4 linked regions of the Schizosaccharomyces pombe genome follow. The gene in region 1 interacts genetically with each later gene. Each region holds a gene or a part of one and is shown in the gene's direction. Other genes may lie near its edges. The genes, in order: rrp6, sla1, trm1 and alp13.

Evidence for each region.
Region 2: mutations in rrp6 (region 1) and sla1 are lethal when combined (synthetic lethality), as found in Schizosaccharomyces pombe (one study listed by BioGRID).
Region 3: mutations in rrp6 (region 1) and trm1 are lethal when combined (synthetic lethality), as found in Schizosaccharomyces pombe (one study listed by BioGRID).
Region 4: of rrp6 (region 1) and alp13, changing one enhances a phenotype caused by changing the other (phenotypic enhancement), as found in Schizosaccharomyces pombe (one study listed by BioGRID).

The regions. Positions count from the first base shown.
Region 1 is NC_003424.3:606,410-615,842, forward strand, and holds rrp6 (exosome 3'-5' exoribonuclease subunit Rrp6), read left to right. Parts: upstream 1-4,438; 5' UTR 4,439-4,476; coding exon 4,477-4,743; exon of another isoform or gene 4,744-4,801; coding exon 4,802-6,868; 3' UTR 6,869-6,929; downstream 6,930-9,433. Other genes in the region: poly(A)-binding protein Nab3, read right to left, coding at 1-440; spo20 (sec14 cytosolic factor family, phospholipid-intermembrane transfer protein Spo20/Sec14), read left to right, coding at 2,583-2,741, 2,790-3,092, 3,289-3,411, 3,475-3,750; MEK kinase (MEKK) Mkh1, read right to left, coding at 7,089-9,433.
Region 2 is NC_003424.3:1,381,605-1,385,853, reverse strand, and holds sla1 (La-motif domain-containing protein), read left to right. Parts: upstream 1-2,305; 5' UTR 2,306-2,340; coding exon 2,341-2,554; exon of another isoform or gene 2,555-2,629; coding exon 2,630-3,312; 3' UTR 3,313-3,446; downstream 3,447-4,249. Other genes in the region: mitochondrial dihydroorotate dehydrogenase Ura3, read left to right, coding at 1-344; disulfide relay system thiol oxidase subunit Mia40, read left to right, coding at 768-1,062, 1,131-1,777.
Region 3 is NC_003423.3:3,717,081-3,725,638, forward strand, and holds trm1 (mitochondrial tRNA (guanine-N2-)-methyltransferase Trm1.1), read left to right. Parts: upstream 1-6,302; coding exon 6,303-7,949; 3' UTR 7,950-8,058; downstream 8,059-8,558. Other genes in the region: MCM complex subunit Mcm7, read right to left, coding at 558-2,840; ribonucleotide reductase small subunit Suc22, read left to right, coding at 4,675-5,850; mrh5 (RNA helicase), read left to right, coding at 8,290-8,558. UniProt on the Schizosaccharomyces pombe protein: Dimethylates a single guanine residue at position 26 of nuclear- and mitochondrial-encoded tRNAs using S-adenosyl-L-methionine as donor of the methyl groups.
Region 4 is NC_003424.3:1,582,025-1,590,088, reverse strand, and holds alp13 (Clr6 histone deacetylase complex, chromodomain subunit Alp13/Eaf3), read left to right. Parts: upstream 1-1,511; 5' UTR 1,512-1,537; coding exon 1,538-2,466; intron 2,467-2,515; coding exon 2,516-2,600; 3' UTR 2,601-2,761; downstream 2,762-8,064. Other genes in the region: centromere localized protein Cnl2, read right to left, coding at 497-626, 698-1,134; SPOM_SPAC23H4.13C (uncharacterized protein), read right to left, coding at 2,762-3,145, 3,226-3,396; SPOM_SPAC23H4.21 (uncharacterized protein), read left to right, coding at 3,616-3,900, 3,993-4,076; guanyl-nucleotide exchange factor Vam6, read left to right, coding at 4,646-4,718, 4,764-4,841, 4,893-4,997, 5,044-7,432, 7,492-7,564; ribosome biogenesis protein Tsr1, read left to right, coding at 7,982-8,064.

The DNA.
Region 1 (9,433 bases):
TTACTTTGAAAGTCGGAAGAAGTTGACTCTAAAATTGGAGCTCCATATATGTTTTTAGAAATTTCCTCATTGTTGGTGTCCGAAACTGGAATATTATTATAAGTATCTGAAGGAGTTAACCGAATGTTGCTAGTAGCTGAGTTTAATATTGGTATCTCCAAACTTCCAGAAGGAATACCGGATACTTGATCAAAGTTTGCATCATCTGACTTATTCCCATCCTTATTTTCTAATGTACGTTCATCAACGTTGTTGAATAAAGTGTCGTCTTGTGTTTGTAAAGCACTTATCGAAGCAGCAGCCTGTTTGACAGGTGAGTTGTAGTCTGGTTCATATGGAGATGATACCTGGTCTTGAAGCTCGGAGTTTGTACTGGTTTCTAAAATATTCTGCACAGGAGTTTCCACTTGGAACGAAGAATCTTTAGACGAGGATGACATTTATTGATTGACTTGAAAAGTAAAACCAAAATAAAACATCAAATTTTTTTAATTTATTATTATTAACAGGGAATATGAAGGAGAATTAAGAGGACAGAGTAACAAAAACAAAATTAGCTTTAAAAGATTAAAGTACTAAATTTTATGCATTTGATAAACTGGTCCAATTTTTAAATAAAATATTTACACAAGGTGCAATGAATGGAAATAACTAGAGGGTGAAACAGAAAAAGTAAAAATTTCACACTCAACCAAATGTGTAAAGAGTTGGCGATTAAAAGGAAATTTATGCAGATGGTTTTCTTCCAACTACCTTTATTTTTTTTTCTTCTTCACAACTTTATGTCTTAGGTAGAAGATACGGCGGAGTGGTACTAAAATTGCATCCTTTAAATAGATGAAAAATTAAGTTGCCACTCAAATGAATGGAACTTCGGGCTTTTCAAAACCACCGCCAGGGAAATGACATGAAAACAATTTTACTATCCCGAAATTTTCTTTTTTTCAGCTTCTGCACTGATAGCATAATCGTTTCCAAAACAAACTGTAAACTAAATTTTCATAAAAGCAGTAAATTTTCAAACTTGGAGATATCGGGGTAGGGTTACCGTTATTGCAGTTCAAATAACCATTGCTATTATTTAATATGTATAAAAAAACCATGTAGTAATAGACTCGTGTGCAAAGTACACTTCAGCTGGGTTTGAGGTGCAAGGTTGCCAATTAAGAAACGTAGTACTGATTCTTTTCACCTCTACCATACTTATTCAATGTTAAATGCTTATAACATTGATATCCACGGTTTTCATCCTATATTCAAACTATGCTTCCTGCCTTTAGTAACAAGCTTGCGTAATGCATTGTTTCCTGCATTTATTCGTTTGTTAAATTATAACGATATTTTGACGATTATACTATCCTTCCGTAACGTTAATATAATAATCAAAAATTTATATTGTTATAGGTCTTTAAAGGTAAAATCAATGTAAATAAATGTATTATTGCTAACATGTAGAAAATTTGATACTAACTTGAAAATTTTATGCAAGTACAAAATGGACTGTCCATTCAAGCAATGCCTTTCACTCTTGTATGTTTTGTTAAACTTTGCGTGGAAGAAACGCTTTCAAAATTATGGCTGAAGTTCGATCGAAAGAGAAGGAAACAATAATTACGTTTGCGAGACAAAACTAGTTTTTAAAAAAATTTTGTATATATATTTAAGTGGCTGTTAGTCTAATTATTATTTATTTTATTCATTCTTTAGATTTTATTTTATTTTATTTTTTATGTCGTATAGTATTACTTTATTTACGTTTCAATATGTATTTTTTGTTAAATTGCTTATTCACGAAATATTTTTCCATTTGCAATAAAATTTCTTTTCCTTTACTATATTTGCTTATTTAAAGTTCTTTTTTAATCACAACTCTATGACAATTTTCTACTCCTCATTTATAATACGAAAACTGAACAATCATAAAATTGAACTGTTTTACTTCACATAAATATCCAGCTACGATACTCCTATACCGTTTTTACATAGACAACAATCTCAAAATCGCAATATGATCATCCATTTACATATTCTATACTCTATGTACTATAACGCTTCTTAGTGCCTGGTTTACTCTTTCAAAGCTGTCAGGTGCATAAATATTGATGACAGAAAATCACCACAAGCGCACTCAAAGGCTTAAATAAAATAAACATTATCTATCGTTCGTTTTTTTTGGTAAAGAAAAAATGCTTCCACAAAGTTAAATTGTCACTTTTTCCCCATGTTTTATTTACCTTCAACGCCTCGTTGAAGGCCATTCTGCATCTCAAATTTGTCGCACTTTTCATGCAAGTTGAAAAATTGGTTATACACAATTTAAACCTCATACGAGGAGCTTCTTCCTCTCATCTGATTTTTAACACTGAAGTTTATCCTCATACTCACATATAACAATAGCGTTGGGTGTAGCATGGCAACAAAGGTTCCTGCGGTAGTAGGTAAAAGGCCCCCACGCTTGACTGATCCCCCACGGCTGATGACCACTAGTATTAAGGTCGCTGACGTTCTTCCTTTTCCTTTATACATCTTGTACAGACTGGGTCATTAGGTCTTCTCTCTACAACCATCGTCTAAACAAAAAGATGTCAGAAACTATATCGGATCCTTATCCTCTAACTAATCCAAATGCTCCATTAGGGCACCCAGGGCATTTGAATTCTACACAGCAAGCTACGCTAGATAGCATGCGTTTAGAGTTACAAAAACTTGGATACACGGAAAGATTAGACGATGCCACTTTAGTAAGTTGTACAGCAGGAAACTTTGTGTTTGTACTAATGGATTCTTAGTTGCGTTTTTTGAGAGCCCGTAAATTTAATTTGCAACAGTCGCTGGAAATGTTTATTAAATGCGAAAAGTGGAGAAAAGAATTTGGTGTTGATGATCTTATCAAAAACTTTCATTATGATGAGAAAGAAGCCGTTTCCAAATATTACCCTCAATTTTATCATAAAACTGACATCGACGGCCGTCCGGTATACGTTGAGCAACTCGGTAACATTGATTTGAAGAAGTTGTACCAAATCACGACTCCCGAGCGTATGATGCAAAATTTGGTTTATGAATATGAAATGCTTGCTTTAAAACGGTTTGTAAGTAAATTCAAATGATTAAATGTATCTCCAGTAATTCTCATAATCAAACCTTTCCTTTGGATTTGCATATTCCATATAAGGCTGGTTTTTCGGCTTTTTAATAGAAAAACTTTTGGTTTTCTACTGTGTTGAATTTTTTGTGATATATTTTTTCATTTTGATATTTCTTTTCATCTTTATTAACCGTCTTCAGCCCGCTTGTTCTCGTAAAGCAGGAGGCTTGATTGAAACTTCGTGCACAATCATGGATCTAAAGGGTGTTGGTATTACTAGTATTCACTCGGTTTACAGCTACATTCGTCAAGCATCAAGCATTGTAAGTTGAAAATGTTGAAATTTTTGTTCTTTTTTTTTTTTTTCAAGTATTAACACGTTAAAGAGTCAAGATTATTACCCCGAAAGGATGGGCAAGTTTTATGTAATTAACGCTCCTTGGGGATTCTCTTCTGCCTTTAATCTTATCAAAGGTTTTTTGGATGAGGCAACTGTCAAAAAAATTCATATTTTAGGCTCAAACTATAAGAGTGCTCTGCTCGAACAAATCCCTGCTGATAATCTTCCTGCTAAACTCGGTGGAAACTGCCAATGTCCAGGTGGCTGCGAACTATCTGACGCCGGTCCATGGCATGAAGAACAGTGGATGAACAAAAATTAGACTTCTTTCTCCGAACGGGATTTAATTGCTAGAATAGATGAATGTGGTTTGTCCTTTGATAAGAGTAATAGTGTGTAGAGTTTTTGCCGATCTTTCAACTTTGTTCTGCGTTTTAGTTCTTAAAGGTCTTCGTTCTATTTTTACTCAGCATCTCAGGTACTTCCTTCTACTTACGGTTTACTATTCGACGAAATTATCGTATATAGATCGAAGCATATATAAATATTTTATTTCGAAAGTCATGTGTTGATCCATCATCAACATCATGGGATGGTTGCTGTTACAATTCTTAATCCTTATAGAAGGTCTCAATACATATATCGTTCATTAATTTTCCAAAAAAGGACGCTCGATGATCCAACTGATTTGATTGTTTCATCCATTCTAGATTATCCGAAGTTTTTAAATTTGTAATTCATCTACTTTGATTATTTTTTTACTTTTTGATCAAAATTGAATGCCTATATTATAAAAGACCTCTCTATAGTTGCCTGCTAATAGTTTCACAATTTTGAACTAATCATAAATAATTGCTTTTACATAATTCTGCTAAGATTTTGCATTTGTGTAAAATATTTTATATATATAAAAATAGCTCTTGTATTTCGTACTTTAACGATGTCTATATTCAAGTTCGGTAATTCGTTGAGCGTGTGGTAAAAGTGCTTGAAAATTCCTGAACCAAACCAAAAACCTTACTGATCCAGTAGGGTAAACAATAGCATAATGGATGAGTCAGAATTGTTTAAGGGTTTAATGAATAGTACAGCCTATTGCTCTGAATTGGCAAAGGTTGATATACCGTTTTATAAATCAATTGATACCGAATTCAATGAAAACATAAAAAGTGTTTCTTCTCGTTTTATGAGATTAATTGAATTGCTTCTTTCTAAAGTAGACAGAAGTCGGGCGGAGGATATTGTGGACGTTGAAGATATAGATAATAGATGGGCAGAAGTATCGGACACATTAGACATACTCTTTGAAAAAGCTGTAAGTGAATTTTTGAAATTGTAAACGGATTTTATTTAACTAAGACGTATGAATATAGGACTATTCTATCGATAAAGCTCAAGGACTTTTAAAAAAGCCAGCGATCGAAACCCATGCGTCGACAAGCGATGTTGCCAATAAAAAACCAAAGAAAGAAAAGTTGCCCTACAAGGTTATTCACGCAGCTCATCTTACTAAGCCTCAATTAAGGTTTCGAGTACAGCCTAATAATTCCAGGGAGTTTGTGTGGTCTTGGAAGTTAACTGAAAAACCACATTCGTTAGTACCGCTCGAAAAGATTATCGCTCAAGTCAAATTGGACCCTAGTCTCAAAAACTCGTTACCACATCCATATGAACCAGAAATACAAAATAGCGTATATCCTCCATGGGTTTCAGAAATGTCTAATCCCATCGATACTGGCTCTGTCGACGAAACAGAACCTATCTGGGTTAGTACTGAAAGTCAGTTATCGGATATGCTAAAAGAATTACAAAACAGCAAAGAAATAGCCGTTGATCTTGAACACCATGATTACAGATCATTTAGAGGGTTCGTCTGTCTAATGCAAATTAGTAATAGAGAAAAAGATTGGATTGTTGACACCTTGGAACTCCGCGAAGAGCTTGAAGCTTTGAATGTTGTTTTTACTAATCCAAATATCATTAAAGTTTTTCATGGTGCAACTATGGATATCATTTGGCTGCAAAGAGATTTCGGGCTTTACGTTGTAAACTTATTTGATACATACTATGCTACTAAAGTTTTAGGATTTGAGGGTCATGGTCTGGCTTTTCTGTTACAAAAGTATTGTGATTATGATGCAGATAAAAGATACCAAATGGCTGATTGGAGAATCCGTCCTTTGCCTCGGGAAATGTTAAAATATGCTCAATCTGATACGCATTATTTGTTATATATTTGGGATCATTTACGAAATGAACTCATATCAAAATCAGCTGAAAGAAAAGAAAATCTTATGCAATCAGTGTTCAATTCCAGTAAACAAATATCTCTTAGAAAGTATGAACTTGAGCCTTATGATCCTATTTATGGACTTGGTACTGATGGCTGGAGAAATGTACTTACTAAGTTTGGCTCTTCTAAAATAATTGGACGGGAAGCTTTGATGATTTATCGAGCACTGCACGATTGGAGAGATTCCGTAGCCCGAAAAGAAGATGAAAGTGTTCGCTATGTGTTGCCAAATCGTTTACTTATTGCGATTGCCGCCAGTAAACCGGTTGAAGCGGCTGATGTGTTTTCAATTTCTAAGCAATTGACACCAATTGCTCGCATGTATGTTGAAGATATCGTTAAAGTCGTTCAAGAAGCCGAAAAGTTGTATAATGAGCAAGTAGATCGTGAGAAATCCCAATTTAAAGAAGTTGAGAAGCAAAATCAACCGCTAGCAGTTTTTTCCGAATCGAATACTTTGGGTGATTACAAAGTTGACTCCAGTGTTTTCGAGATTTCTAAACAAAATAGAAGTAAACTAAAGACTTTGCTGGCAAATGGATCTGCGTTTTGGATTGAGGGACAGTCGCAAGATGATTTACGGAAAGCTCGTAAAGAGAGACTCTTTATAGTGAACCAGAATATTCCTTTTTCATTAACTCTTCCTTGTACTCAAGGGCATGTTGAATCCGAATTGAATGTAAAGCAGTCCACTGTAACTGAAGCTGCAAACCCGAGTCTGAATGGAGAGAAGAAACAAGAGCCTATAGTCATTAGGGATTTAGGGCTGAACAAGCAAAAAAGGGATTCTTCTAAGCTTAATCATAAAGAACCCTCAAACCCCATAGAGGAGCGAAATGAAGATATTGAACCTTCGGAAGCTTCAACTTCAGTGTCAAAAAAACGGAAGCAAAAGAAGAAAAAGAAGAACAGCGGAAAACTTACTATTGAAGCCGAACATGTTTCTAATGACAGTCCAATTATCAATGAAGCACCTTTTGATTATAAAAATCAAAAGAATTTTATTGCTGACTTAGACTCTGATGTAGGAAAAAATAAATTTGGGAAACGGGGTTTTAATCCTCTTAACAAGGTAAGTTTACCAAAGCGAAATACTAGGGAACTCAAAAAAAGGAAGGTTTCAGACGGGAAGAGTACATCTTATTAATATCAGTTTTAATTTTAAATAAACGAAACAATTTTGACAAAATGAAAATTTACTTTTAAATACATTGTAGAAATTGAAAATGATCATGTATGTTTGTTTGTATAATAATGTAATAATTTTCAAAATTAATTTCAATATTAAATAAATAGCTATAAGAAGAAATTGAGAATGCATGCCCCTGCGAGGAAACGCTAAGTAATAAATAATAATTGCGACCAATTTAGCTCTTTCTTTTACAAAGCATGTCGTAAAGATTCGTGTCCTTAAAGTTGAATTCTTCGTCACATTTCATAAACGGGTGATTTAATAATTCCTCTGCGGTTGGCCTTACATCAGCATTCACAGTAAAGCATGCATTCAAAAATTGAATCGCTTCGGGTGATACCTGAGACACCAATTCACTAGGAATAGGAGGCGCCTTTTTCTCGGTACCTAACTTGAACATAGCTTGGATAGCCTCATCTGTAGACCACGGTCTACGACCAGCTAACATTTCCAACACTACACATCCCAAGGACCAGACGTCGACCTTAGCACTATATCCTTGATGATCATTATGAATTACTTCAGGTGCCATCCAAAAGATGGATCCTTGCATGGACAGGTTTGCGTCATTGTCATACACATTATCACTATGCTTAGATATTCCAAAGTCTGAAATTTTGCAAACTCCATCAAAATCAATGAGCAAATTGTCAGCCTTTAAATCTCGATGTATAATACCTTTAGAATGTAAGTAAGACAACCCGTAGAGCACCTGGCGTGATACAAAACGGACCAGTTGCTCTTCGAAAGGACCATAATTCCGCAAACATCGACCAATTGAACCACCTGAAACATATTCCAGGAATATACTTATATCCGTTTCCGTCTTTTCGAAACCCAGATATTGCACTATATTTAAGTGATCCAAATCGGCAATCATAGAAATTTCTGCATTAATGGAATCCACGATATCTTTGCGTAATTGGTCATGACGGCCATTAATAGTTTGTGGTATTTCAACTTGCTTTACTGCAATCAATTCACCCGTATTAATGTTCATAGCCAAAAATACCTTACCATAAGTACCATTTCCAATCAATTCTCCTTTCATCCATTTGAACGTGGCATTTTGTGAAACAACTGATCCAGAAGTTATAGTAGTATCTGGTTTTAGTTCTACAATCCTAGAGCCCCAAAGTTTCGTACTTGATCGACGTAGAAGATTTCCAGATTTATTGCGTCTCGCGTTATGTCGTATTTCTTTCCGAGCTTCAGATGCTTCGCGGGCTAATAATCGTACAGACTTCATTTTCGGACGTATCGATACCTTTGAAGGGGAAGAAACCATGCGGCTTTGGTCCACTACAAGTACTTTATCCAAATCATAACGGGGAAAAAATCGATCAACATCCTCATAAAGATCATCAGCAGATGGACGAACTTCCCAGTTACCAGAATTGATAACCTTTGAAGACGGTGGGGATTCACGAATATGTTTGGACTTTCTTAAACGATAAGATAACGGTGATAAACTAATGGATCTGTCATCACCTCTACAGTATTCAGGAGTTTTAGGCGAAGATAGTTCATTTGCTTTCAAATCCGTAGCAGCCTCTGTGTTAATGGAAAGTTTGGATTGAATGTTGTGATGATTTTCTTTAGGTACTTGGGAGGAAGATTGTTTGGGCTGTATAGCCCAAAAGGGATCCCCAGAAAGATCCGATTCGTCTAGTGCAGGCGCATCTTCAAAAGGTATTTCTGATAAAGCTTCCACACTTTCCTTTAATGAATTAGAAGATTTACTAGATGCTTTGGGGTCAAAAGACGTATGTGAAAATTTGCTAGCTTCGTTATGTCCGGTATCAATGTAAGGAGAGGACCGAGCGTGACGAATACTTGGTCTACGAGTCAATGTATTTTTTCGACGTAAACTAGATGTCTCTGTGGGTGGGGGTGGAGGATCTCTATGTGCCACAAAATTTCTAGTTAAAACAGAAGCAGAAGTATTAGATGAAGGACTTTGGGGAGCGGAAGAGCCGGAATTAAGTGGCATTTTCAATGTGACCTTCTTGTGAGGTCTACAAACGGTAAATTTGTTTTTTTCACTTTGGGCTTCAGTGGCATCCAAAATTTTTGTAGCCATTTCTCCTTTAGCACCACGGATTTTTTCAAACCCTCGAAAACGTCGAGATGGTAATTCTGGAACAACTGCCAAATTCGGTGCCGAACTAAAACCTTTGTAGTATTTATTATCAGGTTGATGCCCTGATAATGATAAATTAGGTCCTGCATCAGTAATTTCAAAATCCGAAGTAAGCACAGGGTAACTTGGTTGCTTTTTAAAATCTTCCTTGCGATGATATATTGAGTCATCATCAGCTTTATAAGTTGAACTTGATTTTGTGCCAAAAGATAAATAAGTATCACTATCCATACCCGATTCTTCATTTTGTGATGGCTTTACGAAAAATTTAATAGTTCCAAATTCATCAGAATAAAGCCTTGCAATATCAAGCTTTCTATCATCTAATATTTCTATGTATTGAGCCCCGCCGACTTCCGTGAGAAACAAATCAAACT
Region 2 (4,249 bases), 770 kb from region 1:
GTGTGATCGTTGGTAATACTACCGTTCAACGCCCTAAGACCCTCAAATCAACTAGCCATGTTGAAGAGACGGGTGGTCTTTCTGGACCTCCTCTCAAACCTATCGCATTAAATACTCTTCGCACACTTCGTAAGCATCTTTCTTCCGATATTCCCATCATCGGCTGTGGTGGTATTTCTTCTGGCAAAGATGCTATTGAGTATGCTCGTGCTGGTGCAACTATGGTTCAAGTTTATACTGCTTTGGGATATGATGGTCCTGTAATTGCTCACAAGATTAAGCAAGAGATTCTTGCCGAGCTTAAGGGCAAACGTTGGGTTGACATAATTGGCAAGGAAGAATAGATTGGGATGTCAGTATATTTCTTTTAAAGAAAAAATTCAGTGTCGTTTACTGGTACATTATTATAGTAAAAATTTAACATATTATAGAAAATAATACTCACGTTCTTCTAATTAAATATTATAAATGAATTACCTTTTGTTTTGCATACCTAAGTTTGCTTGTGAAACTATTATGTCGCTAGTTTAATTCTATTATGAAATTAGTCATTCAGGCATTTCTTAGTAATCTCGTAAATCCTGCCAGTCTTGCTTGTCTTACATTTGTGAATACCTATTTACTTAAATCTGATTTAAAAAACATGCAAACTTATATAAACTTAGAATGAATGACAAAGTTACGTTCTTGTAAGATCGTCGCCGCTTTCTGACCATTACGCAGACATTAGAAGTTCAGAGCTCAACTTCCCATAAATCAAAAAAACCATGTTTGCTAAAAACTTACTTTTCAGATTTCCAAAATGTATAAGGATTAACGGTTACAATAATATGAGAAGGTCTCTACTGCAGAGAAATGGATTTCAAGCAGGCATTTGTCGAAAATTTGGTACTGCAACCAAAACTGATGTATGGAAAGGCCGTTTTTTGCCTATTGTATCTGGCGTTGCAGCTGCTTCTTTGACTGCTGGATATTTACTTGGAAAAAACACTTCAAATGCATCATCGAGTCAAGATAATGACCATCCTGTTGTAGGCGAACATGTCCATACGGAAACACAATGTAAGTATCATATGTTTGAAATGGCTATCTTTTTCTGTACGATTATATGAATTTAACTAACAATATAGCGTATAATGAACCATATATGCAGCGACACCGAATTGAAGATGCCATTGAGAAGAAAATGACAAGTGAAACACAACCTTCGACTGACGAGAAAGGCCGCAAGGTCAGCGCTACTGAGAATAGTGCACCGAAGAAAACTGATAAGGAAAAATCCAGCGGGGAGACAGCTGGAAATATACTTCGAGAACAAATAGCCACTGGTAAAGATGATGATGAATATGCTAGGAAATTTGAGGAAGTGGAGGAGGAGAGCAGCGAGGAGTCAGCATTTAATCCGGATACTGGAGAGATTAACTGGGATTGTCCCTGTCTTGGAGGTATGGCTCATGGTCCATGTGGAGAAGAATTCAAAGCAGCTTTTAGTTGCTTCGTTTATTCCAAGAGTGAACCAAAAGGTATGGAATGTCTTGACAAATTTCAAGCTATGCAGGCTTGTTTTCAAAAACACCCCGAAATTTATCAAGATATGGTAGGGGAGTCTGAAGAGGAAGACGCCGAAACTAATGAGAAACCATCGACTACATCTGACGAAAATAATCAACCACAATCTCCACCCTCCGATAATGCATCTAATCCTGAAGAAGACGTTATGAACATGGAGAAAGAAATTGTTAATCTTACACCTATGTCAGTTATAAAGGAAATTTAAAATTTTCGAGGCGCTCCGTTTACTATTTAAAATCCTTCAACAATATGAAATTGAAATTATTCAATTAAAGCATTTGATAGTGATCTCGTAACGAACATATAATGACTCCAACAAATGGAGTAAGTTTAAAGTATTAATGTCTTACATCGGTTTTAATAGTTAGCGGTTCTACAATAAAGTGGATATTAAATGATAATTCGAATGGGGAATCTTGATATTATAGGTTATATTGCAATTGTCGGTAAAGAATCATAAATAGGAAAACTAAAAGCTACTGCTTGTCATTATGGTTAAATTGTATCCAGAGCTACATTGTAAGGAGCAATCTCTGTTAATCTTTTCAAAAAAAAAAACAATGGAAATTCATGGGATTATTCTATCTATTATAAATCTATTATGAATAAACTACTTCTTTTTTAAGTGCCAACTTTTAACATTGTCTTCATGAGTAGGAAAATAATGTCAGTTCGATAATAGGGTAGGGTTAGAAATGCTTCTAGGAGAGGAATCCAACTTCTTATGAAATTTGCCCTTTGCCTGTCTCTCTACGAATAATTAACATCATGTCAACTGAAGAACAGAAGGAAGAAATTAAGGACATCTCATCTAAGCAGGAGAATTCTTCAGAGGTTCCCAAGGCCGAGGAAGCTGGAAAAGTAGTAGAAAGTCAAAAAGATACTACTAGTGAAGAAAAAAAGGAGGAAACTACTGAAAAGAAGGAAGATGATGGAAAAAAAGATTTATCTTTTGATGAAGCTGAAGTTTTAAAGCAAGTTGGTATGTTACACACTTTGTTTACGTTGGATTAAAACCTTTTTTGTGTTGAGTGGTCGTTACTAACAGTATGAATAGAATTTTATTTTTCGGACACCAACTTACCCCATGATAAATTTTTATGGACTACTTCTCAAAAAAATGATGGATGGGTTCCCATTCAAACAATTGCTAATTTCAAACGTATGCGTCGTTTTCAGCCTTTGGAAGCCATTGTAAATGCTCTTCGCAAGAGTCCTGAACTTCTTGAAGTCGATGAAGCTGGCGAAAAAGTACGTCGTATGATTCCTCTAGTTCGTGTAGACAACAAGAGCGTCATGGAAAGAAGTGTCTACTGCAAAGGTTTCGGTGATGAAAAAGATGACACTCAAATTGCTTTGGAAAAATTCTTTGAAGAAAATGCTGGTCCCATTAGTGCTGTCCGTATGAGAAGGGATGACGATAAAAAATTTAAGGGAAGCGTATTTGTTGAATTCAAGGAACCCGATGTTGCTAATAAATTTCTTGAGAAAGTCAAAACTGCACCTTTGAAATGGGGCGAGGACGAGCTCACTATAATGAGCAAAAAGGAGTATGTTGACATGAAAGCTGAATTACATAAAAACGATCCACCAAAGTTTAGCAGCAAACGCAGACGTTTTGACGCTTTTAAAGAGATGGATCGTCAGCGTCCTGGTAAATATAGTAACAGAGGAAGAAAATTTAAGAAGCAAAGGTCATCTAACGCTTCTGAAGAGAAGCCTTCGGCCGCTTCGGAGTAAAATGGATTAATTTTGTTTGTTTGTTTGTTTTACAAATACTTCAAAGACACTGGACAAATAAACTTTTTCGGATTGGTTATATTAGGAATTTTGGATGAATAAATAGTCGTTTCATGCAGTTATTTTGTACAATATGACCTCGTAATTTAATGCTTAAATCGTAACAATATTCGGCTATAAGTTTTGCTATACGAATTTTAAAGGTTTTGAATAATAGCAATAGTTTTTTGCTTCATCACTTATAATGTATCGTACTGAATATTTTAAATTTCACATGAGTTAATATTAAGTCCTATTTCTTTACCAGTACGACCAAGCTTGCATTTCAGAAGTTCTCAGTGGAATTTGCAATGATCAGAATTGACTGAATTAAGAACTTGTATATTTCTGGTGGATATCAACCATACAAGAATCAACTTTAACAGTAAAAATAAAAAAATATCAACCTTAGAACCATGCGTCTTTCACATATTTCCGACTGCACAGTCAACATAGGTTTACAGTTCTCGATTGCTTGACTGGGCTACGCTATCGATCCTACACATCAATATGTTCTTCAGAATACAAAATATAGTGAAGCAAAAATAGTTGACCTTCCTATAGCTTAATTATAACTGAGACATTGCTTAAGCTACTTGAAACAGAATTAAATTGAATCTTTGTTTTATACTCATTTTTGGGCTATGACTGATTTTATTACTATATATAATCAAACCGTAGTAGAAAGTATCGTTATTTCGAAAATAAACATCTAACTGACAAAGTTATTGTTTTTTATGCACTGTGCTGTTCTTCGTCATATGCTATAAGCTCACCACGTTACATCATGTTACAGATAACTTATTGTGGTTGTTTTCTATGGTACGCATTTTAGTGCTGGTACTTACATAGCCATTTATGATGTCATGTACTAACTCGTTACATACTAAGGGAGCGC
Region 3 (8,558 bases), on another chromosome or scaffold:
ATTCTTACGGAGAAGTGGATCCGGCAAACTAGTTATAATGGAATTAATCAGTATTAAAAAGACGTTAAAACAAAGTAAGTTATTTAAAATGGAATGCCCATTTCTTGACACCAATGGGTATCCAAAGTTGGTTGCTCTAAGGAAGTGCGTAAAGTTCTATTCGCAATTTACTCGGCATGACAGCAGGAAGGGTGGGACAGCAGTGATGAACAAGTTAAAGGTGTAAAATAATGCTAAATGTCAAGAAATAAAAACTCATTACTCATTCCTACGACTCGAGCATATTGACACGTATCTTAAGGTTTTATGGTCCTTCCAAATCTAACGAAACATATTGGCTTAATATATCTTCCTTTCAATTGCGTGAATTAACATTTGAATACAAGTAAATAAACTATCATAGATTAAAAGAACGACAGATGTATTAGTCAGAATTAAAGAATATTCAACAGAAAAGTAGTTTGACGTCTCAGAATAATTTCTATAGGTTGTAAATTAGCTTAAAGCAATTAATTGGCAGAAAAATTAAATGATAGGAGTTATCTATTAGTAAATTGTTAATTCTCCATATGTAAATCCGGATCGAGGAACATTATTGTTTGACCATTGTTTGTAGTTAAAAGAACACCAAGGTCTGTATATTCCTGTATTGTATTTATTAAATGATCTTCAGTAAAACCCTTAGCAAGTACGCGTTCACGAATAGCACGTAGTGTAAGTGAGCGTTCATTGCCTTCAACATCTGGTATGCTATTAAGCATGTCTCGAATAATTTTATATATTTTCGAGGTAATAGTAGTATCGTGAGAACTAGGATCCAAATCATCGTATAGTGATGACTTTGAAACAGACATTAATCTCAAAGCTTCATCAACATCGCCAATCTCCACTCTATTACTGAAACGCAAACGAGCTAATGCTTGTCCCATTCGCAAAATAGCGAGAAGTGTACGTGGAGTAGTGTGAGCGAATTGACGCTCATTGGCTTCATCACGCTTTTGGTTTTGTCGAAGTTGAACATAAGCACCAGTAACATAGTCGCATACATCCTTTGGTACGACTGGGCGATATTGTCTAGCAGAAGAAATATAATGCCTAATCATGTTTGGATCTAATGGTTCAAAGTCCATTTTAGGTTGTTCGTTATGCATGTGAACATATGTTACGTGTTGTGCCAAATGCTCGTCTGTTTCACGAGAAGGAGTATCTAAAATTAAAAATAAAATATCAAACCGGGAAAGCAGTGCAGCTGGAAGATTTATATTGTGGATTGGTGCCACTTTCGGATTATATCGTCCATATAAGGGGTTCGCAGCGGCCAAAATACTTGTTCGAGCATTTAAAGTCGTAGTGATTCCTGCCTTTGAAATTGAAATAGTTTGCTGTTCCATTACTTCATGAATTGCTGTACGGTCACTTTCATCCATCTTATCAAATTCGTCAATGCAGCAAATACCGTTGTCAGCAAGTACTAAGGCACCTCCCTCTAAAACCATTTCATCCGTCACTGGATCACGCATTACAGCAGCAGTTAAACCAACACCTGAAGATCCACGACCTGTGGTGTATACTCCTCTCGGGGCAACCTTCGAAATATACTTTAATAATTGAGATTTTGCGACACCAGGATCACCAGTTAAACAAATATTTATGTCACCACGAATTCTCATTCCATCCCCTAACTCTTTAGTAACACCTCCGACAAGCAACAGAAGTAAAGCTTTTTTAACATCTTCATGTCCATATATCTCGGGAGCAATGGACTTGGCCAGTTTTTCGTACACATTGCCTCCTTGATTTAATTCAGCGATAGCAGCCTCCGATTGAGGAGTTTTTTCAATATTTGTGTAATTTTTAATGATTTGTGAAACATAATGGCATTCTAAGTAAGTATCGGTTAAGAGCCCGGCGCGCATTGCTCGAAAACCAGTATACGGAGTCGGCAAAAATATACCAGAAATATCAACGATATCGCCAGGATTTACAGAGCGAGTGATAGCACCATATAAGTGGACGGTTAATGATCTAGGGATATGGCCAATAGGTACTTGGTTCGTTAATTCTTGTATTTTTACTTCCTGAAAAGGAAGAAATTTACTGGCTCTTGTGCTCATGAAAAGCTGACCTTTTGCATCATTCTTTTTACATTCATCCGAAGGACATTCAGACATTGGAAGGAATGTCTTCTGACGGATTTCTTGAAACACTTCATACCCACATCGATCACATGTATAAGCATTTACAGTTAAGCTAGGCTTAACATCACTTGTACGAGTAACTATACCACGGACAGTCAAAAGAGATCCCAAGTTTTCGCCTCTTAAATCACGAACGCTGAATGGTTTTTTGTTGCGAGTTACTGGTCGAAAGTATAAGTCATAACCTCGGGTTAATTCAGGAGGAAATCCTTTATGCTCAGGGTCTATATTTTCATTCCTTTGAACACGTTGCTGCATAATTACATCAAGTACTTCGTTGCGATAATTAATTTCCACAGTAGGAGGAGGCATCAACGCATCTGCGCACTGCGAAAAAAGTTCAACAAACCGTTTAGCATTAGATTCAATATTATGCAAAAGCTGAGTATCACTTGGATCGAACTCGTACAAATCATTCAAATCAACATTAATAACATTTGACTCTCGATTGGAGATTTTTTGTAGTATATCCATATACTTTGATTTTAAAAAAGGCTCATCACCTGCATCCGACATCGAAATATCCTGATTTTGTTGTCCATCTTGAACCTGTTCCTGCTTGAAGTGGGATAGAAAATCCGTAATTTTATGTTGACATTCTTCATACTCTGGGATTTTTAAATCTATGGTGGGAAGTGCCATGCTTTTCAAACCAAAAAAGTATCCCAAAACTTTTCTGCTGAATTAGCAAAAAATATAAAGGTTCAAAAAGAAAGCAAGGGTATTAAGTAAGGGTAAGATACCAAGAAAGGTTCTTCTTTAGGTTGTTTTAGTTAGTTGGTAGTATGAATCAACGCGAACTCGTAAGGTAACAAAAATGTAAATATTGTAACTTAGGGCATATACAAATTGTCATTGACTCTAAAGAAATTGCAGTGTATAATTTTTTTGATTCTCTACATATTTCCTTTTTAATTTATTACTCTCGCAGCAAAAGTAAACATTCAGTTTGATTTTAAAAGCCACTATGTAGTACTGTTAGAAATTTTTTTTGGAGAGTATTCACTATGTATAAATAAACAGTTTATTTGTTTTAAATTAATAATAATCATTTTGCCAGACAATAAATTGGTCATTTTATTTTCATAAATGTATGTCTAATTGTTTTCATTGCTTCAATCGATTGTTATTTTAGCTATCCATAATTTTTCCTATTTTTCTTCTACACGTTTTGTATTTCTAAACATGAGAGTTATTTAGACTACTGCCTAAAATTTATTTCACTTTTATTTTTAAAAATTTTTTTGAAAACTTATGAAGTAAGTTAGCAGGGAAATTCTCAAAAGAAATGCGATATCAACAATATAAAAACTTCGAGTAGGGAACTTTTTATTTTTTGTTCGGTTATTTCAAACATCAGTGAAGAATGAATATAGAAAATTCTTTATTGTTTTATACCACATTGTAAACTGTACCTAAAAGCACAACACGCAATAGAAACGTGCTATTGGAATGCTTATTTATTTTCTGTTTACAATAGACGAATATAAGTATTTCTTTTTTTTTTTACGAAAGGATCAAGGTATTAAAATTATTCACAGTATGTGGCTAGGTCTCTGTCGCGCTTATCTTTTTTTAATTAAGCAATGTCTTTATGTACGGTCGCGTCGCATTAGAAGTTTCGTGATTTGTAATATTTGAGCAGTTATAAAGCGCTCTACATCTCGGATGAAAAGGAGATTGTGAAGAGATATTTATTTCTAACATCATATCGTACTACTAGGCTGATATCATTGCGTTTCATCTACAACATAAATTGAGGTACCCTGACGCGTCTTAAGTATTACACTGAAAACTACTTTATTAAATTATAACAAAAAGTGAGAAATTTAATAATTTATTTATTACATAAAGTAATAAATTCATTTCTATTTTTTCAATTATTTGAGCCTAAATAATTGAATTTATTCGACTCCACGCTTAGCATCGAATTCTTCGATTTAAGCTATCACATTTTTCTATTAACTAGCTACAATTTCCTGCTTTAAGAAACCGTTATTATAACACACCAGAAGGGAAAGGAAGTAAGCCCTTGCTTTTCCCATTTAATTTGAGATTGTCTTCGAATTTATTTCATTTTTTTTACTCGTTGCGTTTGTCTCCAAATATTAATTAGTACATTGTTTTTTTTCAACGTTATTCATCTCCATCAGCCTTTGACTTAGTTTAACTGCAATTTTCCACTCTGTAAAATAAGGCAGCATTTTGTCTATTTTGCCTTCACTCTTATTCATTGTGTTATCATACCCAAAGTGCGACAAATTAACATCCACAAAAAAAACGGTGGTGTTGAATATACTACAATACTGTGCACTACATTGGATAACCTACCTTTGAAAGTTTTGCCATTAACCACAACACATCTTGGGAAGCCACATCGCAAGAGATAATCGCGGTGGAAGAAAACTTTTGTACTTATTCTATATACAGATAAATCCGGTCAGTTTGGACGAAATCTCATTATTAATCTTACAAAATGGGCCTTGAGCATCTCGAAGAATTCAGTTATCCTAAGGAACATGGTGAAGAAGTCGAGTATGATAGCGAACAAGGTGTTCGTAAAATTTATGTTAAATCTATTAAAGAAACCTTTAACTTTGATAATGTAAGTGAAGAAGAGAAACAGGAAGGAGGCGACTACTACTTGGGCAAAAAGGAAGATGAGCTTGATGAAGTTGTGCTTCGCCCTAATCCTCACCGCTTTGTTTTGTTTCCAATTAAGTATCACGAAATTTGGCAATTCTACAAGAAGGCTGAAGCATCTTTTTGGACTGCTGAGGAAATTGATCTTTCGAAAGACTTGGTTGATTGGGATAACAAGTTAAATGCTGATGAACGTTACTTTATTTCCACTGTACTCGCCTATTTCGCTGCGTCAGATGGTATTGTTAATGAGAATCTTCTCGAGCGTTTCAGCTCTGAAGTTCAGATCCCTGAAGCTCGTTGTGTTTATGGTTTCCAAATTATGATTGAAAATATTCACTCTGAGACCTACTCACTTTTGCTTGATACATACATTCGTGAACCTAAGGAAAAACAGCGTCATTTCGATGCTATTTTAACAATGGGTTCTATTAAGGCCAAAGCCAAGTGGGCTCTTCGTTGGATTAATGATGAAGATTCCACCTATGCAATTCGTTTGGTTGCCTTTGCTGCTGTAGAAGGTATCTTCTTTTCTGGATCGTTTGCCTCTATTTTTTGGCTTAAGAAACGTGGACTTATGCCTGGTCTTACTTTTTCCAATGAATTGATTTGTCGTGATGAGGGTCTTCACACCGACTTTGCCTGTTTGATGTTTAGTCATTTGAAGCACAGACCAGGCCGCAAGGTTGTTGAAGCCATTATTGTTGAAGCTGTTGATATTGAGAAAGAATACTTCACGGACGCTCTTCCCGTTAGTCTGCTTGGTATGAATAAGGATTTGATGTGTCAGTATATTGAATTTGTTGCTGATCGTTTGTTGGTTGCTTTGGGCAATGACAAGTACTATAACGTAACCAATCCTTTCGATTTCATGGAGAATATCTCTTTAGCAGGAAAAACAAATTTCTTTGAAAAGAAAGTTTCTGACTACCAAATTGCTGGCGTTATGTCGGGTACCAAGCGCGCTGAGAAGGATGATCATACATTTACAATCGATGAGGACTTTTAGATGACTAGTTATTTTTGGTTTTTAGATAAGTTAAAGCAAAAAAAAAATATTATTGATTACTGATAACCTATTTAGCAATAATAAATTAATATGTTTAATTAGATTTTCGTTACTCTATACTTTACAAATCTAAATGGCTACTTCAGTGAATGTAATGACGAAGTTCTAATTTCTGAAGTATTTCTATTCAAGTTCTTTTCTCTTTTTCATTAATTTACTACGTCTAAGAAAAGTTATTTTCCAGTCATAGACTAAAAGACCATTTACTTATTATCCTTATTGTCAATTACCTAAACCTACAAGATTACATGTATTATACAATACTTTGTAATTCGATTTATGGTTGACTTATCACATCTCGTATTTTTTTAATGAATTACTGCAAATTTACTCTCAAAAATAATCAATACTTTCTTTTTTTTTAACGATTATTTTTCTTTAATTCGTATTAAATGTATGAAGCCAATATGCTAAGATTAAGTCAAAGGATCTCAAATGCTGTGAATCACTTCTCAACCGCCATGATGTCGGGGGCTTCTGCAAGTTTGACCGAGGGTAGTGCAATTATACCATTTTCAAATCCGAATGAAGTCTTTTATAACCCCGTACAACAATTTAATAGAGATTTAAGCGTTACAGCTATTCGTGCTTGGTCGGAAACTAGATCCAAAAAAATTGTTGCAAAATCTCATCACCGGCATCAGCTTCTCGATCAAAACTCCGAACTTAGCCAAGAAAATCTTACTAAATGTGATACAACTCATGATTTTGAAAAAAACTGTTCGGAAAAGACAGATTCTACTTCAGCTGATAATATTGCTGGATTTACCATTTTAGAAGCACTTTCCGCTACTGGATTGCGTTCCATTCGGTATGCTAAGGAGTTGCCAAATGTCAAAAGGATACTTGCAAATGATTTATTAGAAAATGCTGTGAAAACCATCGAGAAGAATGTTAATTACAATAATGTGAGCGATATAGTAATTCCTAATAAAGGAGACGCTAATGCTGTTATGCATATGAACAAATTTCATTACGATGTGATTGACCTTGATCCTTATGGATCTGCTGCCCCGTTTCTGGATGCTGCTGTACAATCCGTTTCAAAGGACGGTCTTCTATGCATCACATGTACTGATTCAGCTGTTCTAGCCGGTAATGCATATCCAGAGAAATGCTTTTCTAATTATGGTGGGTCCTCTTTGCGCTCTAATTTTTGTCATGAGCAGGCTGTTCGTCATTTGCTTTATGCTATTGCAGCTTCTGCTGCAAAATATGGTCGCGCTATCAAGCCGCTACTTTCCCTAAGTATTGATTTTTACTTTCGCGTATTTGTTCAAATTAAAGCAAAGCCTGTTCTCGTAAAAAATTTACAAAGTCAATCGCTATTGATATACCATTGTTCAGGCTGCGGTAGCTTTGCCGAGCAACCACTTGGAAAAACTTCTCCGGGAAGACTACCTGGAACCACCAAATTCTCTAATGCTTCGGGGCCTCCTGTATCTGCTAACTGTGAACATTGTGGATATGTGCATCATGTTGGAGGCCCTTTATGGGGTGGACCCCTACATGATGCAGAATTTCTCAAAAAAATGCGCGCCATTGCAGAAGATTTAGACCCTGAAGTCTATGGCACTAAACGAAGAATCTTAGGTATGCTCGCTTTGGCTGATGAAGAACTACCAGATGTTCCATTTTATTTTGTTTTATCCCAAATTTGTAGCGTCTTGCGCTCCCAATCTCCTCCTCAAAATATATTTGTTTCAGCTTTGTTAAACGCTGGATATCGGGTTTCTGGTTCTCATGCCAAGAGTAATGCAATTAAAACAAATGCTCCCTGGTCCTTCGTTTGGGATGTTTTGCGCTCTTGGATTAAAGATCATCCAGTGAAGCTTGAAAATATTAGTAAAACATCTGCTGGAGCAGCGATTTTGGAAAAAACTCCCACAGCTGAGGTTGATTTTACATTCAGGCCCGATTCCGAGTTTGCATCCAAAAAAGAAGGTTATACTCGATATCAAATGAACCCAACTGAAAATTGGGGCCCAAAAAGTAAACCTGGTAAAAGAACTATCGCTGAAGTTGACTCAAAATCTTAGGTAAAGTGGAGCACAGTTTAAATACTCCTTGTATTTTAGGTTTTTGGATAGTACATACAATTTCATTCTTTATGTTATTTCGGAAGGTTTATGCAAATTATAAACAGGCTAGTACAAAAAAGATTTAGTTTGTGTATTCCATACTAAATACTTGTTTAAACTAATAGTATCCGCAACACAATTAGCAATGTTAAAATGATTTATTGTTTAACCGTATTCTTCTTTTTTACATAATTATTTAAAGAAGGTGCAAATATTTTCTTAATTCTTTTGCTTCAACAATTTTTGGTATTGTTACTTTCGTTGGTGGGGTACTAACTCGTCCAACAACAGTTTGCTCATGAAATGTTGTCCTGCCTCGATATTGGATCGTTTTAATGCAATAAAAGTTATAAATGTGATGGGATTGCGTCTAAACGGACGAAGTGTTCCTTGGTTGCTTCAGACACGAAAATTTATCAATATCACTAGTCCAAGATACACAGCTGGCAGGCCTGTTATTTTGAATGAAAATCAACTAATTAGATACTTACCAAATTACACAAATAAAGGAGATGAAGAGGTAACCCGAAGGAAGAAATTGCATGAACCCAATGGACCAAAATTTCA
Region 4 (8,064 bases), 980 kb from region 1:
AAGTTCTTATATAGAAGTCAAGTAAGTAAACAAAATCCTAGAAATGCCAGATTATGTTGCGGACACCAAAAATTTGACAGTTCAATCTTTCTATGCTAAGAAAAATGAAAATTGAATATTATCCTAATTTAATCAAGAATTTGGCGAAAGTGTTACAAACTATGTTTGCAAATTTTGCTCCATCTTTTATACTGTGTTAGTCATGGTTCGGATGCGTGCTACGACAAGTTAGTGATAACTGATTTTAATCACTCTATTAAAATGTAGTTTGTCAAATGGAACAAATACTGCATGCTTTTGAAGAAAATATATTCGCATTACTTTGAACAGGTTTTAATGAAATGAGTTTATAAAGGAACAGATATATCTTATTAAAAAGGTGCAGAATAACGTTATATTTAATTATTAAAAAGAAAAAAAAATTCATTCATTGTAATAAATACCCGTTAAAGCTATATTATTGAATAAATATGGAACAGCTTAACGTTTGAAGGTCCTAGTCTAATTCTTCTATTGCAGAAGGTGCTGCCTTTTCTAAACTTTCAATTAAAGATTCTACAAGATGAATTGACTCGTCAACGTTTGGCTCTTTTGACCATTGAAAATCGCTAAGGGATGCAATCTGACTAGAAAGAAATTATTAGCAAGCTAAATAAAGCTCAATTAAAACAACCCAAATTCCTAATCAACCTCATACCTATTCATTTTAAGAGTCAATTGTGTGCAGCGCTCTTTTTCCTCATTTAATTTTGTATAAGCAGATTGCACAGCTTCAGAAAGCCGCTCATTGATTTCACTTATGTCCAGCGGTTTTGCACTATGTGATGTGTAAAATTCTTCTACATCGTGCAATGTAGAGGCATGACTGACCGTTTGCAGTTTCTCAACATTTGTTGCCAACATCCTATCTATTCTGCTTTTGCCGATAACTTGACTCTCGAGATGGATGTTAGCTCTCAATTTTGCTAATCGCTTTTGTCTTTGTTGTGTACAGTATTCGTATAAACGCTCAATCAGTGGGTCTTCTCTGTATCTCTGAGGAAACAGTTGCCGCCATTGTTCTAAGCTTATAATAGACTGCAACCGCCCTTGAGAAAGAAGATAATCATTAAGTATTTGTTCCTCCATATTCATGAGCAACCTTTGAGATATTAGTAAATTGAATAAATGAAACGCAGCATTTGATGAAAACTCATGTAGAAAAGCTAATTTTTCCTAAAGTATCCTTTTGACTAAAGCATTTTTTATAATGCGTATTGGGACGTATTTGCTGAACATAATGAAAGTTTATTTTTAATTTATCATTAAAAATCCTAAAACAGTAACTTACTGATAGCACTTTCTCCAAGCATTTTGCAGATGAATGAATTTGTTGCTTAGATAGTATCCTGTTACACCCACCGTTTGTTAATGGGTCTAGATAATTTTTAAAACAAAATAGCTAACTCCTTCAAAGTAGGATAAATTTGCTAAGTGTACTGTTTTGGCACACGTCCTCTTACTTCTAACTCACCACCATACCTACAACGTTGTTGGAATGGCCGTGTCATATAAGGTGAATGAACGTGTACTATGCTTTCACGGCCCGTTACTCTATGAGGCTAAAATTGTTGATACTGAAATGAAAGGTGATGTTACCACGTACCTGATTCATTATAAAGGATGGAAAAACAGTTGGGATGAATGGGTTGAACAAGATAGGATACTACAATGGACAGAAGAAAATTTAAAGACTCAGAAAGAGTTAAAAAATGCCGCTATCTCTACGAGACAAAAACCGACTTCTAAAAAGTCCGCATCCAGCACTTCGAAACATGACTCAACTGGAGTTAAAACATCAGGAAAGAGGTCTCGAGAATCGAGCACCGTAACGGTTGATGGCGATTCACATGAATTGCCTTCACGTATAAAAACCCAAAAATCAGAGTCTCCAATTCCTCAACAAGTGAAACGCGATGGAACAACCGATGCTAAAAACGAGGAAACTACTAAGCCCGAGAATAACGAGAAAGACGATTTTGAGGAAGAGCCACCGCTTCCAAAACACAAGATTAGTGTCCCGGACGTTCTAAAGCTATGGCTTGTTGATGACTGGGAAAACATTACCAAAAATCAACAGTTAATAGCTATACCGCGGAATCCCACCGTCCGGGCTGCTATAGCGGCCTTCCGAGAATCCAAGATTTCTCATTTGAACAATGAAATAGACGTTGATGTTTTTGAACAAGCGATGGCTGGTTTGGTTATATACTTTAATAAGTGCTTGGGCAATATGCTGCTGTATCGGTTTGAACGGCAGCAATATTTAGAAATTCGGCAGCAATATCCTGATACTGAAATGTGTGATTTATATGGCGTCGAACATTTAATTCGCTTGTTTGTAAGCCTTCCTGAATTGATTGACCGGACTAATATGGATTCACAATCCATCGAGTGTTTGTTGAATTACATTGAAGAATTCTTGAAGTATGTTTACTGCTTTTAAACTCCCCTACTATACTAACCATTTATTTAGGTATCTCGTTCTACATAAAGATGAATATTTTATTAAAGAATATCAAAACGCCCCTCCAAACTATAGATCTTTGGTTGGTGTATAAAATTATGATCGTTTGCATCTATCCCAAAGATAACTAAAACGGTAATCTAAAATATATACGTTTTCTTTTTGAGATATAATACACTATTATCTATAGAATGCAGTAGGACCAACATAAGGCATTCAGAGAATTCATGCAATTATTATGTTGTTCCTTAATATTCAGATATTAATCATTTTGCTCTTCAAAGAGACAATTTGCTTCTGCAAATTGCCAATTGGAGTATCAAATTCTAAAGATCCAGAAATTTGACTTCCAAACTGATAAAGTTCTGCATTTACGACACCTTTCATTGCCTGGATGCTCAGGTCTAACGAACTTTCTGCCGGGATACACTGCTGCTCCTGTTCAGTTATATTGGCAACTCTTCTCAATTTTTCTTTAATACAACTCCATTTTTCTATTGTTTTTAAAATTTTTTTATCGTCAACCCGATGTTGTAATGTATCAGTCCGCTTATTGAATCCATCCATAAAATTGTAATAAAGCTTTATGAGTGCCCGTCTAAGGGCCAATGTGTATAACCATTGAGGACGTATGTAATACTAGAATTTGGTGAGTTGGACGTAAATAAGAACCAGTAAATATAAAAACTAACCACAACTTGCTAAGAATGTGTACTTACTTTTGTAATAACGAAAGTCGAGAGACCACTGATAGAAAAAGTATATAATATGTAAATTAAGAAGGACAATAAGCTGGACGAAACTTGTATATTATCTGGAAAAGCTTTAACAGGCGGATTTTCTTTAGGAAGCAAAGGACTTTTGCTTTGAACAGCACTGTTCGAACTCATTTTTAGAATGATCGAAAATTTTGCACTAGTGAAAATATGGATATCAAACCAGTTGAAGAAGAAAATGATAAGCGTAAAAAAGATGGTTAAGCATATAGTGTTGCGGAATAAGTAGTTTGATTGTTCGAAATTAATACGAAGCAGTAAAAAGCAACTTTGCAAAATTAACAGAACAAATGAAATGAATAAGTTTGTTATATCTAACGGATTGTTATTAAAATGTATCAAGTTTCCAATCTCGATTTAAAATGTGGCGTGCACAACGGTGAATTGTTGACGGTCCTTTTACCCAATATAATGGATTCTGGTAATGCGACAGAATTAGGAATTGGAGTAGAAGAGTGGCATAAACGGCGCTCTTCATGGCTTTTAGGGAAAAAATCTACCGAAGAAACTGATTCATCGAATGAAGTTGTAGTTCCTGAAAATGTATATCTCAATGTTTATGAAGCACTAGTCTATCGAAGGCAAAAGTTGAAGCGTCCGGTCAAATTAAGCATTGTAGTAAGTTGAGTCGGTTATTATTTTTTTCCTTTTTTAAAATTCTATCTTTGTTTGCGTTTTTTTGCTACTTTACTAAAACTTTTTTTCACCAGATTGCTGTTCTTAAAGCCGGTTGGATTCGAGATGGATTTTGGCCAGCTCCCAGCAATAGCAATGGAGTTTCTGTACCTCCTTGAAAAGTCATTATTAATGACCTTATTTCTGTTGCTACTTGGAAAGCAAAAAATTTCTTATATCCCTGTTTATTGTTTAAAACTTTGGTGTAATTATTGGTAACAATTGGATATCGAGCATAAAGTATTGAGATATATCCTAATTGAATAAATAATAAATGGTTTTCAATGACATTATTATTAACTGGAACTAACATTAGCAAACTTTTTACCCGGGAAATAAACAAGAGTAGAGAAAGCAACTATTTAACTAATAATATAAAGCAAAATCTTCTCATATTATTTATATTATAGAGTTGAGCAATCCAGTTTATTAAGAAAGTTATTTCTTTACTATTTAACTCTCCTATATGCTACAATCAAGAGCTGTTTAAGGTAGCAATTGCTAATGTATTAAATATTTTTATGACATTCAACGAGCTCTTGAGTTAGCGAATGTCATACTAAACCAGACCTTGTTCTTGAACATATTCTCCTTTGTTTTTCAGTTATATTTCTCTTAATCAATTTTTTTCTGGACCAAATTTACGTTTTAGCACAAAGTTATTTTGTCTGATGCTTATTGAAGGGTAATGCATAGAGCATTTTCATTATACCGTGTTTTAGAGCTATCAAAAGCTCGGGTTGAATGCGTTTTTGAGTTAGGTATGATTTATTTTACTTTTGGACCTTAATGCTAATGGATAATAGGAGGTCTGGTTTATGTGTCGAATAGCAATGGTGATTTGGATAGTTACAAAATCTATAACAATGAAGAAGAAGAAGCAGGTATGGAATTGTTTCTATAAAAAAATAATTATTAATAAATCTTATAAATAGCTGACTTCGTCATGGAACATGTGGATGTATATCCTAATTTTACGAAAAAGCCTATAACAAAAGTCGTGAGTTGCGCTACGCAAGATATATTTTATGCTTTATCTGGTAAACTTTTTTAAACTAGTTTAGTTATAACTATTAACTTTTTTAGATTCTCAAGTTTACGTTTATCAAATTTCGACTTTTAAGAAACTTTTCTCGTTTGGAGCACATTGTCAGAACATGTGTTTGTACGGTGATGAATTAATTGTACTTTCATCCAAAAAAAATTTGGAAATTTACGAAATACAGAAGAATTCTAAACCTAACCTCACAAAAACCATTTCACTTAATGACCGGCCAAGGTCTCTTGCTTGGGTATCTCCTACAATGATTCTTGTGTCTCTTTCAAATGATTTTTGTGCTGTAAATACTGAAACATCCCGGATTTCTTCTCTTAATTTAGCATGGCAACAGTCCTCTTCTCTTGGTTTAGGTATAAGCTATATTGGAATGTCCATAAAGTCAAACAAATTGCACATTACTCGAATATCTGATGACGAGGTTCTTTTGTCTAAAGATTCACAAGGATTACTTGTGAATCTTAAATCTTTACAAGTCTCTCGGAACCCTCTCCGGTGGCCCACTGTTCCTCAAGCTGTAATTTATAACTCTCCATATATAATCACTTTACACAACCAATACATTTATATTTGGAACAAAGAGACTTATGCAATGATTCAGCAAATTGGAATAAGTAATATTTATTCAACATTTTCTTGTCATAAAAACACATTTTTCACTTCTAACTCCTATGTATGGATTTTAACTCCTGAAGATTTTAGCAATCAAATTGAAGCCCTTCTTAATACCGAAAATTTAAATGAAGCTATCAGCGTTTTAAGTCAAATTACAGTATCGCAATTTCCTAAGCGCGATTACTATTTGCGAATTACTAAGCGGGAGAAAGCGCTGCGCTCTTTTTCTTCTGGTGATTACGATTTGGCTATGCGTTTATTTTCTGAGATCTCGGAATCTCCATCTACCGTATTAGGTTTATTTCCAGGGCTTTTGGATAATAATTATTCTGATGCTATAAGCATCCTTTCGATGGCTCCTTCACAAAATGAATCCATTGAGTCTAATGTACTGTTCCCGGGCAATCATTCAAATTCTCAAACAGATTTGCGCAATGGCGATGCAGTTTCAACAGTTGCAAATAATAAGCGCCTTCGCTCCCTGAGTACATATTTGACGGATTCTCGTCGTAAAGCCAATCGATTTTTAAGTTATGATGAAGAGCATTATTTTTTACAGAAGAAAAACTTATTCTTAAATGCTGACGGTACATTGGTTGCTAAAGAGAAACTAGAAAAAATTGCTGTTCAAATCGATACCACCTTATTTTTAATTTATATGATTTCATCGCCAGCTTTAGTGGGTTCTTTACTTCGATTACCAAATCGATGCGAGACTTCGGTAGTAGAAACAAATCTACTATCTGCTAAAATGTATCGTGAACTTGTTGAATACTATTATGGAAAATCACTCCACGAAGCCGCTTTGGATTTATTAACTAAATTATGTGATGAGCCTACAGATACATTGTCTTTAAAGGGAAAATCTAACACAACTTCCAAATATGAGCCTATACTTTCCTATTTAGAAAAACTGTCGCCGGAACTTGATCATCTTATATTTAAATACAGCCGTGTTCCACTAAGTGAAGATCCTCAAAATTCTATAGTAATATTTATTGACGAAAATTCCGAGGCCAGCACAATCTCAAAAGGCGTTGTTTTAAAGTATCTTGAGACCATTTCGTACAAGGTTTCTATCATTTATTTGGAGAAATTGCTTTTGGATAATAAATTTAATGATACGGTTTTTCCAACTCGACTAGCTCTATTATACTTGAAGAGGATTTTAGAGCTGGAAGAAACAACGGACTTCAAAAATCAAGAAGTTTTTAAACAAACCATCGAAAAATTAGAAGACTATTTGACTAATTCAAAACAATATGATGCTAATGTCGTTTTACAAGAAATTAACTCCCAAGACGAGTTCCTTTCTACTGTCTCGATAATTTTGTATAGACGATTATCACGGCATCAGGATGCATTGGATGTCTATTTAAAAATACTAAATGATTGGGAGGGTGCTCTATCTTATTGTAACTCTGTTTATTCCATTGATGGGGAAACAGAACCGTATTATATGCTACTTGCTGAAATATCTAAGAACTACAAATCCGGTTCTCTAAACATTTTAGATTTTATAACAAAGTACAGTTCACGCTTGGATTTAAACAGAGTTTTTCCTTTACTGCCAAAAAACATATCTATGAAAAGTTATCATTCTTTGTTCTCTTCTCAATTTCGCCAGTTATTTGAAGAACTGAGTAATAAAGAAACGCAATCTAAATTATATCAAAAACGTTTGGAAGATTTGAATGAGGAATTGACTAAAGTTCGTTCTGAAAAAGTAGTAATTACCCGAGAGAAAACTTGCTTGTTTTGTCACAAACGACTTGGAAAAAGTGTCATCTCTATTTTTCCCGAGTAAGTAATTTTATTTTATTTTATTATTTTTTTTTAATTACTAACCTTCATTTAACAAGTGGATCAGTCGTACATTACGGCTGTGCTAAGAAATATGTTTCTTCTAACCATCTTCCTTATGAAGCCTATTAATGTATATTCAATAAAATAATTGAGAAAATTTACACTACTTATTTTCTTTCTTCCAAAATCTTGTTCTGATATACCTGTTAATAAATATACCGTGGCGTGCGTTATATTTTAACGAAAACTTACCTATCTCTCCTAAACACCAAACAAAAGGCTGTAAAATAATTTTTTCGTTTCGTATACCAACTTCCACTTTACGACGACTGTTTACTACGTTGTACTGGAAAGTGGTTAAATTTTTTTCTACTTGGAAATACGGTTTGGTGAAAATTTGTTTGGGGTAGTCTGGCTTCTGTACTGCAACTTCGGAAAATCTATAAAAATACTCAAATAGTTCTAGCTAATTTGATATCGTTGTAGGGTATATCTTTATAAAAGAGATTTTATATATTCTTAAGGTTCACTTTAGGACGCTTTATTATGGCTCATCATCATCGATCAACGTTTAAAGCTAAGAAGCCGTTTAAGTCTAAACACGCTTCAAAGTCATCTTTAAAGGAGAA